3 linked regions of the Rattus norvegicus genome follow. The protein of the gene in region 1 interacts with the protein of each later gene in a biochemical or structural test. Links are inferred from orthologs where the notes say so. Each region holds a gene or a part of one and is shown in the gene's direction. Other genes may lie near its edges.

Region 1 (4,625 bases):
AGCTATACCCTTAGAAGTCAAACAGCAAAAATGGAGGATGTCTGGCCACTAGCAAAACAGGTCAAGATATGAAATGTGAGAAAATATGACCTGATGAGAGGGTTCAGCAAGTGTAGAAACAATTGCTCAGCCCCAGCTTTTGGTTGGATCCTTGGAACCATAACATGGGTACAGAAGGAGAAGTGACTTCTCCAGGTTGTCCTCTGACCTCTCCACGTGGGTCATGGGTATATATGTTCAAACATTTATACATACCAACAGAGACACACAAGGTAAATAATCATAATTAAAAAACAAATCTGAGAAAAAAAATTTTATTTTCTTGGTAGTACTGGTGACTGAACTTTTCAGGCCACAGGAAGAATAGGCAAGCCTACTACCCATCCAGTAGGTAATATCTTGGAAGTTTTCCTTCAGTGTCACATACAGCCTTGGTACTTTCCCTATATTTGAGGGTCCCAAACACAGAAATCCAGTAATTTGAGAACCCTAAAAGCATGCTCCCTACTTTTTTGCTTCGAATTGGACTGCTCTAACACTAGCTTCTTAGGAGCATTTCCTCACTCTTTTCTAGAGTTATGGATTTTTAGCACCTGACATTTTTTTGTCCTCTCCCATATTTATATTTAAGGCACTGCAGAAAGTGCTCTTTTATTAAGTTCATCTGTTAGAGATGGGTGGAAATACCTTCAAAAGACCTTGGAAGTTTCAGGCAGGTCCAGAAAAATATTCTCAAGGATTCTTTTTCTAAGAGTGGTTGCTGGTAAGGATGTGTAGACACATAATAGGCAAAAAAAAAAAAAAAAAAAAAAAAAATGCATGTACGGTCTAGTCCTAAACAGCCTCCCACTGCTGTGGTTCCTCCCCACCCCATTTTTCTAACAATATTATCCTAGTCCAAATTTTTCGTTTTTGAATCAGACATTTCAAGAGGAAACTTAAAGGACTAGCAATGTGACTTTGAGAAATGAACTGCTCCTTTCGAAAAGGCGATGAAGAGTGTGGAATGTTTCTATCCTGAACACACAGGTGCTTGGCGGATTTAATGGAGTTCCAAAGATCAACCGGAGAGGGCAAAACCCGGGCGCTCCAACTTGTTTCTGCTCATTTTCACAGAGGAGCGCCAGAGCTCCGACTACATTCTGCGCAAAGACCCAGCCCAGGAACCTAAGTGTCCACCGACCGAAAATACGTTCTAAGTCTACGCCGGAGCCCCCCTCTTTCAAGACCTCCCCTTTAAAGGGAGCCACCGAATGACGCCGGGGGAGTTTGCGGAAGCGCCTACCGCGTTGGGCCCTTGGGCGGATCCCGTGATTGGAGCCGGCACCGCCCCCAGGCGCCGCTTCCCCCATTGTGTGAGCTGCAAGGAGGAGGCCCCGCCCTCGCCCCGCCCCCGGTTCCTCGGCCCCTCCCCTCTCCACTCCCCCGCCCCCCCATCTTGGCTCATTTCCGGCCGCCGCCGCTACCGCTATCCTGTAAGGAGGATTCGGCAGAGGCAAGAAACAACAGCCGCCATCTTGTTTGTGTGCTAGCCTGTGGGGGGGTGGGGGGAGGAGAGAGCGAGAGGGACCGGGCGAGAGTGGGGCAAGCGGGACGCCCGGCTGAGTGCGAACTGCGCGAGCAGGGAGTGCGGGGGGTACCAGGCCGGAGAGCAGCGGCCGCGACCGAGACAGTGGTTGGGGGCCCGGGGCGCAAAGGCTGAGGCGACCCCTAGCCCCCTCCTGCCCGCACACACCCCCACTGCAGCCCGGGCCGGCGTCGACGCCTAAGGGGGGACCATTACATAACCCCGCGCCCCGCGGCGCCTTCGCCCGCCGTCCAGGGCGGCCCCCGAGCCGAGCCCCCGGGGGGGGGCGGGAGCTCCCAGCACCTGGCTGCCGGGCGTGAGGGCCAGAGAGGCGGCCGTACTTATTTCTCCTCCACGGGCTTGCGAGTGGAGGCGGAGAGCGCGGCGCGCGGAGAGGCCGCGTCGGTGGGCTTGGCGTCGGCGCGGGCTTGCGGGCGGGCCGCCCTGCTCGGCCCGGCCCCCCTGGCCCTTCGGGCCGGCGAGCTCCACGCTCGGCTTCGTCGCCGCGCCTCCGCTGTCCGCTGCGCGATGTGAGGTGGCTCCGGCGCCAGTCTGGCTCTCGGCTCGGGTGAGCTCAGTGCGGCCATTAGGGGCCGGTGCGGCAGCAGCGGCGCAGAGCGCAGCGGCAGGAGGAGGAGGAGGGCTCGCAGGGTGGGGGCGCAAGCCCGGGAGGGGGCACCGGGAGGAGGTGAGTGTCTCTGGTCGCCTCCTCCTCTCCCCCTTTTTTCGCCCCCGCCTCCTTGTGGCGATGAGAAGGAGGAGGACAGCGCCGAGGAGGAAGAGGCTGATGGCGGCGGCGGAGCTCCGAGAGACCTCGGCTGGGCAGGGACTCGCTGTGGCGGGCTGGGGACTGCGTCTGTAGAGCTGTGAGTTCCCGAGAATTCGCTGCAGCGGACGTGCTCGTGGGATCAGTGTTGCTGTACCCTCCTCCCGGCCTGGTTTAGGCCCGGCCCCTCGCACTTGCCCCTACCATTTCTGTTGAGTCCGCATCCCTCTCCGGCCACCGCAACCAGGCGAAGAGAAAAAGGAACTTCCCCCACCCCTCTTGGGTGGCGGCGGAGCTCCGGAGCCCACCCTTAGGAGCGGGGCGGGGACCCCGTTTCGAAGAAGAGATTTCCTCAGGATTCTCGTTTTTTTTCCTCGGTTGTATCTCCGAAAGAATTAAAAATGGCCGAGAATGTGGTGGAACCCGGGCCGCCTTCAGCCAAGCGGCCTAAACTCTCATCTCCGGCCCTCTCGGCGTCCGCCAGCGATGGCACAGGTTAGTCTCGGGACTCCCGGCCTTCCATAGTTCCCTTCGTCTTTTCTGCTGGTTGCACCTTCATTCTAGGGTATTTCTGTGTATCTCTTCCTATTTCTCCGGCCGGTGTTTAATTTTAAAGGATTTTGAATGGACTGGTTGAAGACGTCCAGCAGCCCAACCATTTTCTTTGCCTTCTGATACATTCATTGCAACACTATGTCATGTCAGATGGTTGTGTGTTCTGGAATTAAGAGCTTGGAAGTGGGAGCTGCATGGACCTTTATTGTCGGCTCCATGCAATTTAATTTGGGAAATGCCGGTACAGTTGTGTGTAAGGGCTTTTATGCACTTTTACTATTTTTTGTTACTGGCGAATGAGGTTTTCAAATCTTTCTCCCCTGTTGCACTTAATTCTTTTCCCTCTGCTTTTCCACCTTTAAAGGTTTTTACTCCTGTGAAGCAGATTTTCTGTTAAGGAATGGGGGTGGAAGACAAATCTTGGTGTGTGCAGTACAAGGTTTTAAGTGTAACGTAAAGTTCAACAAAATACTGTTTTTTAAGTCCCCTCTCCATCCTTGGCTCAAGAATCAGTATGGACCGCAGTTTATTTTATATCTATTTGGTGTGAAACCAAAATGTCTCAAACTGGGTGTTTGATCAGGTGAGGAGACCTGAGGCATTTCCCTTGCAGTTTGTTGTCACCCTTCTTATTTAGAAGGGAAAGAGAAAAGATGAAGCCTTTCTGGAATTAGGTACTTAGAAATGGAGATAAGAAGTTGAAAGAGTCCCAGTCATGAACTTCCAACTAAAGTGACTGTACAAGTTTGAAAATGTACAGTAGGTTTTGTGCTTGTATGCTTATTTTGATTTACTTTTTGGACCTTTGCAATTTCAGTTTTCAAGATCAAGGAATTCTTTTCTTCAGTCAGCCCCTTTGTTAGGAGACCTGCAGGGAGACTTTCCACCGTCTGTTCTTTTTTCTACTTACTGTTAGTTTAGTGTTATTCTGATGATCACCGACCTGGTCCTCTTGCTGTCTGACTTGTTTGAGAGGCCAGGATGATGAAGAATAATGACTGGTCATCTGACAGTCCACAAGATGTTCCCCCTTACTACAAGCATCTCTTGAACTCAGAGAACAGGCTCAACATCTTCGATCTGCCCGCGGAGTGTATAATGGAGTTAAATGTATCCTGCGAGTTGTAGAGAACGTGTGGGCCATGTTTCTCAGTAGGATTTATGACGAAGGCATGAAAATAAGATAGAACTAGTGCTTTACTCTGCTTTTTTAGCAGCTGTATTGTGAACCATGAGTTTTGCTAGCTGCAACAGTTGGGAAGGAGGATGAGTCTGGCAATGTTCTAAGGCTCTAACTTTAGTTATATGTGAGCATTTCAGCTGTAAAGTTTCTGAGGTCTTAAAGAAATTTTTTAAAAGTATGTCTTTAAAATTCATAGGCATAGACATTAATTTTATAGACACATTCGCTTTGCATTTTTGTTTCATTCCCTACCCTCATAATAAATGTACTTCTGTAATATGTTCACAAGTTGCCAAATTTGACATAACCAGTAACATGAAATATTGTATGGAAAACTTTTTAAAATGAAAATTTTTGATGTTCTGATTTGAGTGATTCAATCTTAAAGTCTGTTCATACCTTTCTGTTCAGGTGGACTATTGCATTCTTGGTCTGATTTATGTATTTTGCTAAATTGTATAGCTTTTGGCTAACTCATGGTTTAAAAAAAAAGCAAAACTTGCTTTGCATATCTTTGAATGCAATTACTGGAGTCTTTTTTGAGGGGGCGAAGG
Region 2 (4,010 bases), on another chromosome or scaffold:
TGTCCAGCATTCTAGGGTTTTTCCAGATCAAAGTTCCAAACTTCCACATTCTTCTTTGTTCCCGAGGCTTAAGAACCCCGTGGTCAAGCGGATCACAGCAATGACCCCACTTTTCAGTACTGTGCTTCTGTTGTGCTTGTTTGAGGAAATGTGTGACATAAGAAAGGAAGGTTTAATTCCAGCTCGGGTGCAGTTTGTCATAGTTAGGGTGTTATTGTGGCAAGAGGGTTAGGAGTTGAGCACATTACATCTGTAGTCAGGAAGCAGTACCTGTGCCCTGCTCCCCTCCTGTTTCAGTCCAGAGTGGTAGCCTCTCTAGACTAGTGCCATTCACATTATAGTGGGTCTCTCTACCTTAGTTATTGACCCAGTATAGAGACTATCACAGACATTCTCAAAGCTTTGTCTTTTAGGTGACTGTAGATCCTGTTGACAGTATTAACCAGCATCCTATAAAGTGTTTTGTTTAGGTTTTTTGTTTGTTTATTTTTAATTAAAATTTTCCATTTTTTCTTTTCTTTTTTTTTTTTTTCTTTTCTTTTTTCCTACATAGCCCTGTTTTTCTTGGAACTCACTGTGTAGACCAGGCTGGCCTTGAGCTAACAGAGATTCACCTGCCTCTGCCTCCGCCTTCGCCTCCGCGCTGGCATTAAAGGTGTACATCTACCACTCTCGGCTCAATTACATTTTTCTCTTGGGAAATTCATTCATTAGTATTATATTTATATTATTTCCTTTTAAGTTTTAAGTGTCATTACTTCCTTGGGAGGGACTTTTTTGTCATGTTAAGTAATGTTTTAGATTGTTGAAAGTTTTGATTCAGATTATTATGTACTATAACATACCATGATACAGAGGAGTCTGCAGACAGAACTGTTACTCCTTTTCTAGTCTCTCATAAATTCCTCTTCTGGGGCCAGTGCAGAGCTTTTTACTCAGGTCCCAACTTTTCGGGTAGATTGTCCCTCAACTTTGTAAGCTGGTGACCTCCAGCCATCTTCTGTTCTGTGACACTCCTCTACCACCCTATCTACACCCCCGTCTGTCCTCCTCCTCCACTGCCTACCCTTCCCCTCTCCTTCCTCTCCCTCCTCCCTCTTCCCCTCCGATTCTCTCTGCAATGTTACTCATGATGTGCATTTCACATTCACTTGTTCATTTGACCTGAACCTGCTTGAGGTAGATCTGTGAGGGACTGGAAACTCTTTCATTTGCTGTTTTCCGTGTATCACCAAAAGATTCTCCTGATAGGTGGTAAATAAATATAAAAGGAAAACAAAAAATTACATGTATGAGTTTCCTTTAATAACACAAACAGAATCAGAAGTAAATAACTACATTTGTAACCCAAACCAAGTGTTGTCTCTTCCCCCACGCCACCTGACAGTCATCACATGACAAGCTAAGTGTGTGCTCAGAGCTGAAGTTGTACTGCTTCACTGAAGCAGTTGCTAGAAATACACCGTGCATACATGGGGTGTGTACGTGGGGCGAATGACCTTTGATTTTTGAGAGACAGTAATCTCCCTGTAAAATAACTACATAATTTTAAGTATAAGCAGGAATATGTTGATTTAGGGACTTTTCTAATTAGGGCCTTTGTTATGTAAAAACATAACAAAGACTATGTATTAGGGCTGGTGTAGTTTTTAAAATTGAAAATTCAGACCACAGAACAGATGTGCAATAGAATGAACTATCATAATAACAGTTTATTTTAGAGTCTGATTGACTTAGTTATGTAGTTTCTCAGGACACGGTTTCACTGTGTAGCCCTGCCTGTCCTGGAGCCCTTCTTTGTAGAGCAGGCCTATCTCACAGAAATCTGCCTGCCCCTGGCCCCTGGCCCCTGGCCCCTGGCCCCTGGCCCCTGCCTCCCAAGTGCTGGCATGCGCCACTGCCACCCAGCTGGAGTCTGATTTCTGATGTTGTTAAGTTCTCAGGTGACTTGGTCCTTAGAGTGTCAGGGTATAAGTACTGTGAGTATAATGTGGAAATCACTGTTCTTTAAGTGTACTACGTTCTTTTAGTAGACTTCTTTCATTTCCTTACCCCATTACCCCTTCATCTTGGTTTAGTTTTGTTTGGTGTAGTCAGCGCCTCCCTCCCTAATACCTGTCACAGGGGTGCATGTTCCTTTTCCTTTGTCTTCTGCAGCTCCTGAATATTGGTGTTCCATTGCTTACTTTGAAATGGATGTTCAGGTAGGAGAGACATTTAAAGTCCCTTCAAGCTGTCCTATTGTAACTGTGGATGGATACGTGGATCCTTCTGGAGGAGATCGCTTTTGCTTGGGTCAACTCTCCAATGTCCACAGGACAGAAGCTATTGAGAGAGCAAGGTATGGTAAAAATTGAATAGTACATTAACTTTTATTCAAGACTATTGTTTTTCTATGAATAGGAGTCTTAAATATAGAGTTAAGGTCGTTTTCAATACTTAGAACTTGTGAGCTTCCATTTTAATTGTAGGTACTTGCTAAATATAGAGGTAAAAAAAAAAGCAAGCTTTCTTTGCTTCATAACTATGCTTTCTGTCTCTGCTATCCCATTCGACAGCTGGTAATCATAAATGGCTTTTGAATACTTGAAGCATTGCTCATGTGAGTGAATAGCTGAATTTACATAGATCTTAAATGGCTTTGTGATAGAAGTGATATAGGGCTGGAGAGAGGGTCAGTCATTAAAAACATGCTACTGTCTGAGTAGAGTTCAGTTCTCAGCACCACAACTGCCTGTAACTGGAGCTCCAAAGGGTCTGATGCCAACCTCTGACCTTCATGGTGCCCTCTCCCAAAACACACAGAATCTTAAAACTATAGAATTTACATCACTGTGTTATTTTGGTTAAATGAACTTTGTATGAGAACTATTATATAGTAAGTACTGTGTAAGAGTTGTTAACAATGGCTGTCTTTGAGGTGTTGTCTTACAGTCTTTGTTCTGGCTGTGCCCTGAGCTGAGACAGGCTGTAACGAGGTGAATGTGGCTCTGTCTTTCCTCCTGAGGTTGCACATAGGCAAAGGAGTGCAGTTGGAGTGTAAAGGTGAAGGGGACGTGTGGGTCAGGTGCCTCAGTGACCACGCCGTCTTCGTGCAGAGTTACTACCTGGACCGTGAAGCTGGCCGAGCACCTGGTGACGCCGTCCACAAGATCTACCCGAGTGCGTATATAAAGGTCAGTCCTCTTTACGTGTAAATATTTTAGGCTTACAAACCTCTGTTGCTTGAAGTCTGGAAACAGAGGTGAGGAAGTAGAAGGCTGTGTGAGTTTGACCTGTTTTGTCCAGAGGAGGAGAGACTGCTGTAGTGGGCACAGTCACTGGACGGCAGGAGAAGGCCCCTGAGTTCACGGCATCTGGGCTTGTGAGTCTCAGGCCAGCCTCGGCTGCCTCCGTCTTAACAAGCGGCAGCTCCACCACAGCAGCGTGCGCTCCTGCTCGGGTTCTATGCTGAACTGGGAGCAGCTGGCTCGTTTTGTGGTCCTAGGGTTTCAGATTTTCGAAGTCATTTAGAGTTAATACATAAATTCTTGAAAACATTGACTAAAAATCTCCAAACCTATATTCTAGAACACGAAATTGGTGAAAAATTAACATTTCATTTCGGCCAGTGTCTAAGAGTTTATGGAGGACTGCTGTAAAGTTGTGTCAAGGGATGGAGTGTCTCATCCCTTCGTAAAACTGCAAATTACGATGCTGAGAAACAGATTCCTTTTTATTTTTACATATTAAGCACGGTTCAATTTTATTTTTAACACTTGTTCTTTTGGGAAGAAAAATATAGGTGCAGTGAGTTAATTGTATTTTATTTGAGATTTTTCATCCTGAGCTCCTTTCTTACCAGCAGTCATACATGGTGGGACTGAGTGCCTTAACACTTCTTTAGGAAGGGCTTCAGCTACAGAGAATGTAGCACTGTAGATACAGAGCGTGTGCACAGAAGGGGAGAGGCTTCCGGTAGCTAACCGGCTCCAGCCTTTCGGTTACAGTTGTGAAGGATGCCTGTGGCT
Region 3 (4,010 bases), on another chromosome or scaffold:
GGGCTACACAGAGGCCATTGAAGTGATCCAGGCAGCCTTCCGCACCCCGGAAACCACAGCCTCCAGCCCCGTGACCACTGCTCAGGCCCACTTGCTGCCTCTCTCGTCCTCCTCCACAAGACAGCACATAGGTAAAGAGGCTGAGAGGTTTCCTTTCCTCTCCGGCAGGGTCTCTGTGCCCTGTGACATGGCACGACACTTCCTTTCCCTAGTCTTTTCCTGGACAGGTCTTCCTACGTGGCATGCCGCTCAGTCCCCGCCGTGCTCCCGTACACACAGACCGGCAGTTCCACAGACACTCACATTGGCATATGTGTCACTTAGAATCCCAGGAAACAATGGACACTGCTTCTCATACCTGTTAAATTTAGAGAAAGATTCTAAGAAAGATCCACAGGGGTCACAGGACAACGAGTAGGACCCAGAAAATATGCATACTGTATGACCCTTCCTTCCGGGCCACCACCCCTGGGTCCTCCACCTCCTCCCCGCCTCGGGAGTCTCCTTCCCTCAGCTCCTGCCCTGCTCGTGGCCCTGACTTTGTCTCCCCACAGTAACAGCCTTCCTGTCGTCCCCCCACATACATCTGTACAAATGGATCCTGGGACAGACCCTGAATTATGTCTTGCACTCTGTCTGTGCTTTGTCCAAACTTCAGCACCCTTTCTTTTTGTTCACTTTCTACCCTAACCACAAAACTCCACTGAAACCAGGGAAAGCTAGCAGTACCCAGGCGGGAGGGCTCAGAAGGTGGTGTCTGCCCCAGGGAATCTGTCTACCACCTTCAGCAGGCCCTGGATACCCAATTCTTGTCTCTTTGTCCTGTTCTGTCCGTTCCTTCCCCACCTGCTGTGGATAACCTAGTTGATAGGATATAACTTCTCATCTTTAAAATCAGAAATGTAGAGAAAAATAAGACATCACTTCCTTGTTACATCCTTAAGCTGAGTTCAGGATTCTCAGAAGAGTATGAAAGCCACTGCCTACCTCACTGCTGACCCCTGGTGTCCGGTTCGGTCCCCACCTCTCCTAGGCTCTCCTCCAAGTTGCCTGATTTGGCCCTCATCCTGCTCCTCTGTGGCTGCAGCAGTCATAGCTGATAGCCCTCACTAGCAGTGTCTACTCAGGACTTCGTCACCTCGCACCCATTCTGTCACCCACACCCACCCTGCTGCCTCCTCCTTACCACTGTGCATAGGCAGGCCCAGTCCTAAGCTTCCTCCTCTGCAGAGACATCTGTATATCTGTGCATGTATGAGGCCTGTGTGTACATGTTCATGTATGTGTGCACTGGTGTCCTTACAGCCTTTTTATACATACTTAGTTCTGGTTTTTTCTCACAACTCCACGCCTCCCATCCCCCATCCCTGCCCCTGCCCCGTGTCCCCACTTGGACCCTCTTCCTCCCTGTCTCCCCATCTCTCTCCCCACCTTCACATGTGTTCTGTTACCCTCCCTACGCTCACATCCTTTTAAAGCCTGTTTCCCACCCCCTGAAGGCCCCTTCTAGTTCTCTGGCCTCTGCCCACACTCACTCCCACATAAATACGCATACGTGACTGTTGGAAGCTGGGATCCGCACGTGAGAGAGAACGGTATTTATGTCTCTGGGCTTCCTTGATTAGTATTCTCCAGTTCCATCCATTTCCCTGCAAATTTTATCTTTCTTTATGGTCGAATAAATTTTATCATCTGCACACAACTCCTTACTCTTGCACAAACTCACACTGGCCACGTCTGTCAAAAGCATAGCCAGGCTATGACAAAATCTTCCTGGCATCCAGTGCCTCAGGTTCAACCCCAAACGTTTCCTCACCTCATGGCAGATGCCCAGCTCAGCCCATCCTCAATGCTTGCCTGAAATCCACAGTGGCTCCTAGTCAGCCTCTCTGTCCCCTCCGTCCCTCCATCTGTCCTCTGCACCACACCGATGTGACGTGATGGGGCTCCTATCATAATCAAAAACTAAATACTTAGCAGCTAGGAACACAGTGAGGGTGAGAACCTAACTTTGACCTCTACTGTATCTTTGGGAGGGCCCAGGAGGGTGACAAACATGTGTAATCCCAGTAGTCTGCATGGAGGAGGAACAGACACTGAGAGGGGCGGATCCATGGGGCTCACTGGCCAGTCTCAAAAAAACAAGATGGAGAAGGACCAAGGAAGTCACACAATGTCGACCTCTCCCCACATGCACACATGTGCACACATCCCACAAACACAAAGTGAATTCTTAAATATTGTATTGCATTTCCCTAGTTATGACCAACTTACAAGAAGAGGTTTGGTTGGGCACGAAGTTTATAATTTCTATTGCCTTCGGGGTAGAGCAAAGCCCTTCATCATGGAGGAAGCATGGGGTAGAGGAATCCTACTCATTGTCCAGGGGTGTGGAAGTGCAGAGAGATGGGGAGGAGCCAGAGCACCGGCTCTATTTCAAGGCCACACCCTCAATGACCGAATTTCCTTCTTTGAGGCTCCACCTTCAAAGAGTTGCATCACCTCCAAAGAAAGTCACAGGCTGGAAGCCAGGCCTTTACTTAGCACACGCCTTTGTAGGGCATTGTGATAAAGAGTAAGCCTCTAAATACTGCACAGGCCCCGTTACATAACAGCAAATAAAGACAGCTGATTGGCTGAGTTAACAGCGGCACAGGACTCAGGCATGGCCATGGAGTCTCAGTGTTCCGACACTAAGATTCAGTGACGAGATTCGAGCCTTTTGCTTAGTCAGTGTTGGACTTCTGTTTCTTCAGTTGCTCTATACAGAGATAATCTGCTCTGGTCAGATCCCTGGGGATAAGCTTTCAGTATAGATACATTTTTTTTTTAATAAAACAGCCTCATTGTCTTGCACCAGAAAAACCATTTTCCGCACTGCGTGTTATTTAAAAGTCCGTTCAGCGCAGAGAGGCGTCATTTTTAGTTCCTGCTTCTCTGAGGACTTGATTTTGCCGTGTGTTCAGCAGTTTCCCCAGCTGTAAGAAAGTAAAATAATAGAGCAGTTAGGAAAACACGCCTCATTTTAAAAAGGAAAACGTGTTTATTCTGAATCAAGAGAACTCAGAGCAGATTCTGACAAACAGAAAGATGGACTCTTGGCCCGCTCTGACCCTGCAGCGGTGCCTAACGTCATTCGACAGCGCCTGCCCTTCACACGGCCAAGCAACATGGACGGCACGGGGCGGGACGTGTGCTGGGTGGAAGCATATCCTTCCGTACAGTAGCCCACCGCAGAGCCTGGGAAGGGAGCCCCGCTTCCACCGCTGTGGAAGGTGTTCTAGTTCTAGTATGGTGCTGTGACTACACTCTCTGGGTTTCTGTCAGCTGCCAGGTCATCCATCACTGACGGATGACAGGGCAGGAACTCAAAGAATTTGAGTCAGAAACTATTGAGGACTGCAGCTGGCAGCCTCGAGGCTCACGCTGAGCTCGCTTTCTTACACAGCTCGGGACTGTGCTGTCTACAGTGGCCCACATCGGTTAACTGTCAGGACCGTCCCCTCAGACATGCCCTCACACCAGTCTCATCTGGCTGGTCCCTCATTTGCACCTCCTTCTGCAGGTGATTCTAGACAGTGTGAGGTTGACAGTTGAAGGGCACGAGGACAGCAGGCAGAACGAAAGCCTCGCCATGGCCTAGCTCAGCCCCTGATGAATCTGTGCTTTCTCCTCAGATGAGCTCCGAGATAATGACAGCGTGTGTGACAGTGGTGTGGAGACATCCTTCCGCAAACTCAGCTTCTCGGAGTCCCTCACTGGAGATGGCCCACTGCTATCTCTGAACAAAATGCCTCACAATTATGGGCAGGATGGACCTATAGAAGGCAAAATTTAGCCTGCTGGCGGTTCCCCACACTGTAAACCAAAGCCCTGAAAGGCCATCATATCGTTCCGAAGGAGAAGGCAAAAAACGCATCCCAAGGTGCTGGAAGGTCACCGGCCTGCAGGGTCAATCTTGATGTCATTCGAGGCCTTCCGAATTTGGCTTCCTTTCTTGGCTCTGAAAT

What was found. The genes of interacting proteins can lie anywhere in the genome.
Region 2: the proteins of Ep300 (region 1) and Smad4 form a complex in vitro, tested with the Homo sapiens proteins (2 studies listed by BioGRID, with this or other methods). The link is inferred for Rattus norvegicus from reciprocal best matches to the Homo sapiens genes EP300 and SMAD4.
Region 3: the proteins of Ep300 (region 1) and Nfkb1 form a complex in vitro, tested with the Homo sapiens proteins (2 studies listed by BioGRID, with this or other methods). The link is inferred for Rattus norvegicus from reciprocal best matches to the Homo sapiens genes EP300 and NFKB1.

The regions. Positions count from the first base shown.
Region 1 is NC_086025.1:114,986,093-114,990,717, forward strand, and holds the start of Ep300 (histone acetyltransferase p300), read left to right. Parts: upstream 1-1,764; 5' UTR 1,765-2,734; coding exon 2,735-2,828; intron 2,829-4,625. UniProt on the Homo sapiens protein: Functions as a histone acetyltransferase and regulates transcription via chromatin remodeling. Acetylates all four core histones in nucleosomes. Histone acetylation gives an epigenetic tag for transcriptional activation.
Region 2 is NC_086036.1:69,525,478-69,529,487, reverse strand, and holds part of Smad4 (mothers against decapentaplegic homolog 4), read left to right. Parts: intron 1-2,157; coding exon 2,158-2,341; intron 2,342-3,007; coding exon 3,008-3,176; intron 3,177-4,010. UniProt on the Homo sapiens protein: In muscle physiology, plays a central role in the balance between atrophy and hypertrophy. When recruited by MSTN, promotes atrophy response via phosphorylated SMAD2/4.
Region 3 is NC_086020.1:226,690,256-226,694,265, reverse strand, and holds part of Nfkb1 (nuclear factor NF-kappa-B p105 subunit), read left to right. Parts: coding exon 1-131; coding exon of another isoform or gene 132-418; exon of another isoform or gene 419-3,677; coding exon 3,678-3,838; 3' UTR 3,839-4,010.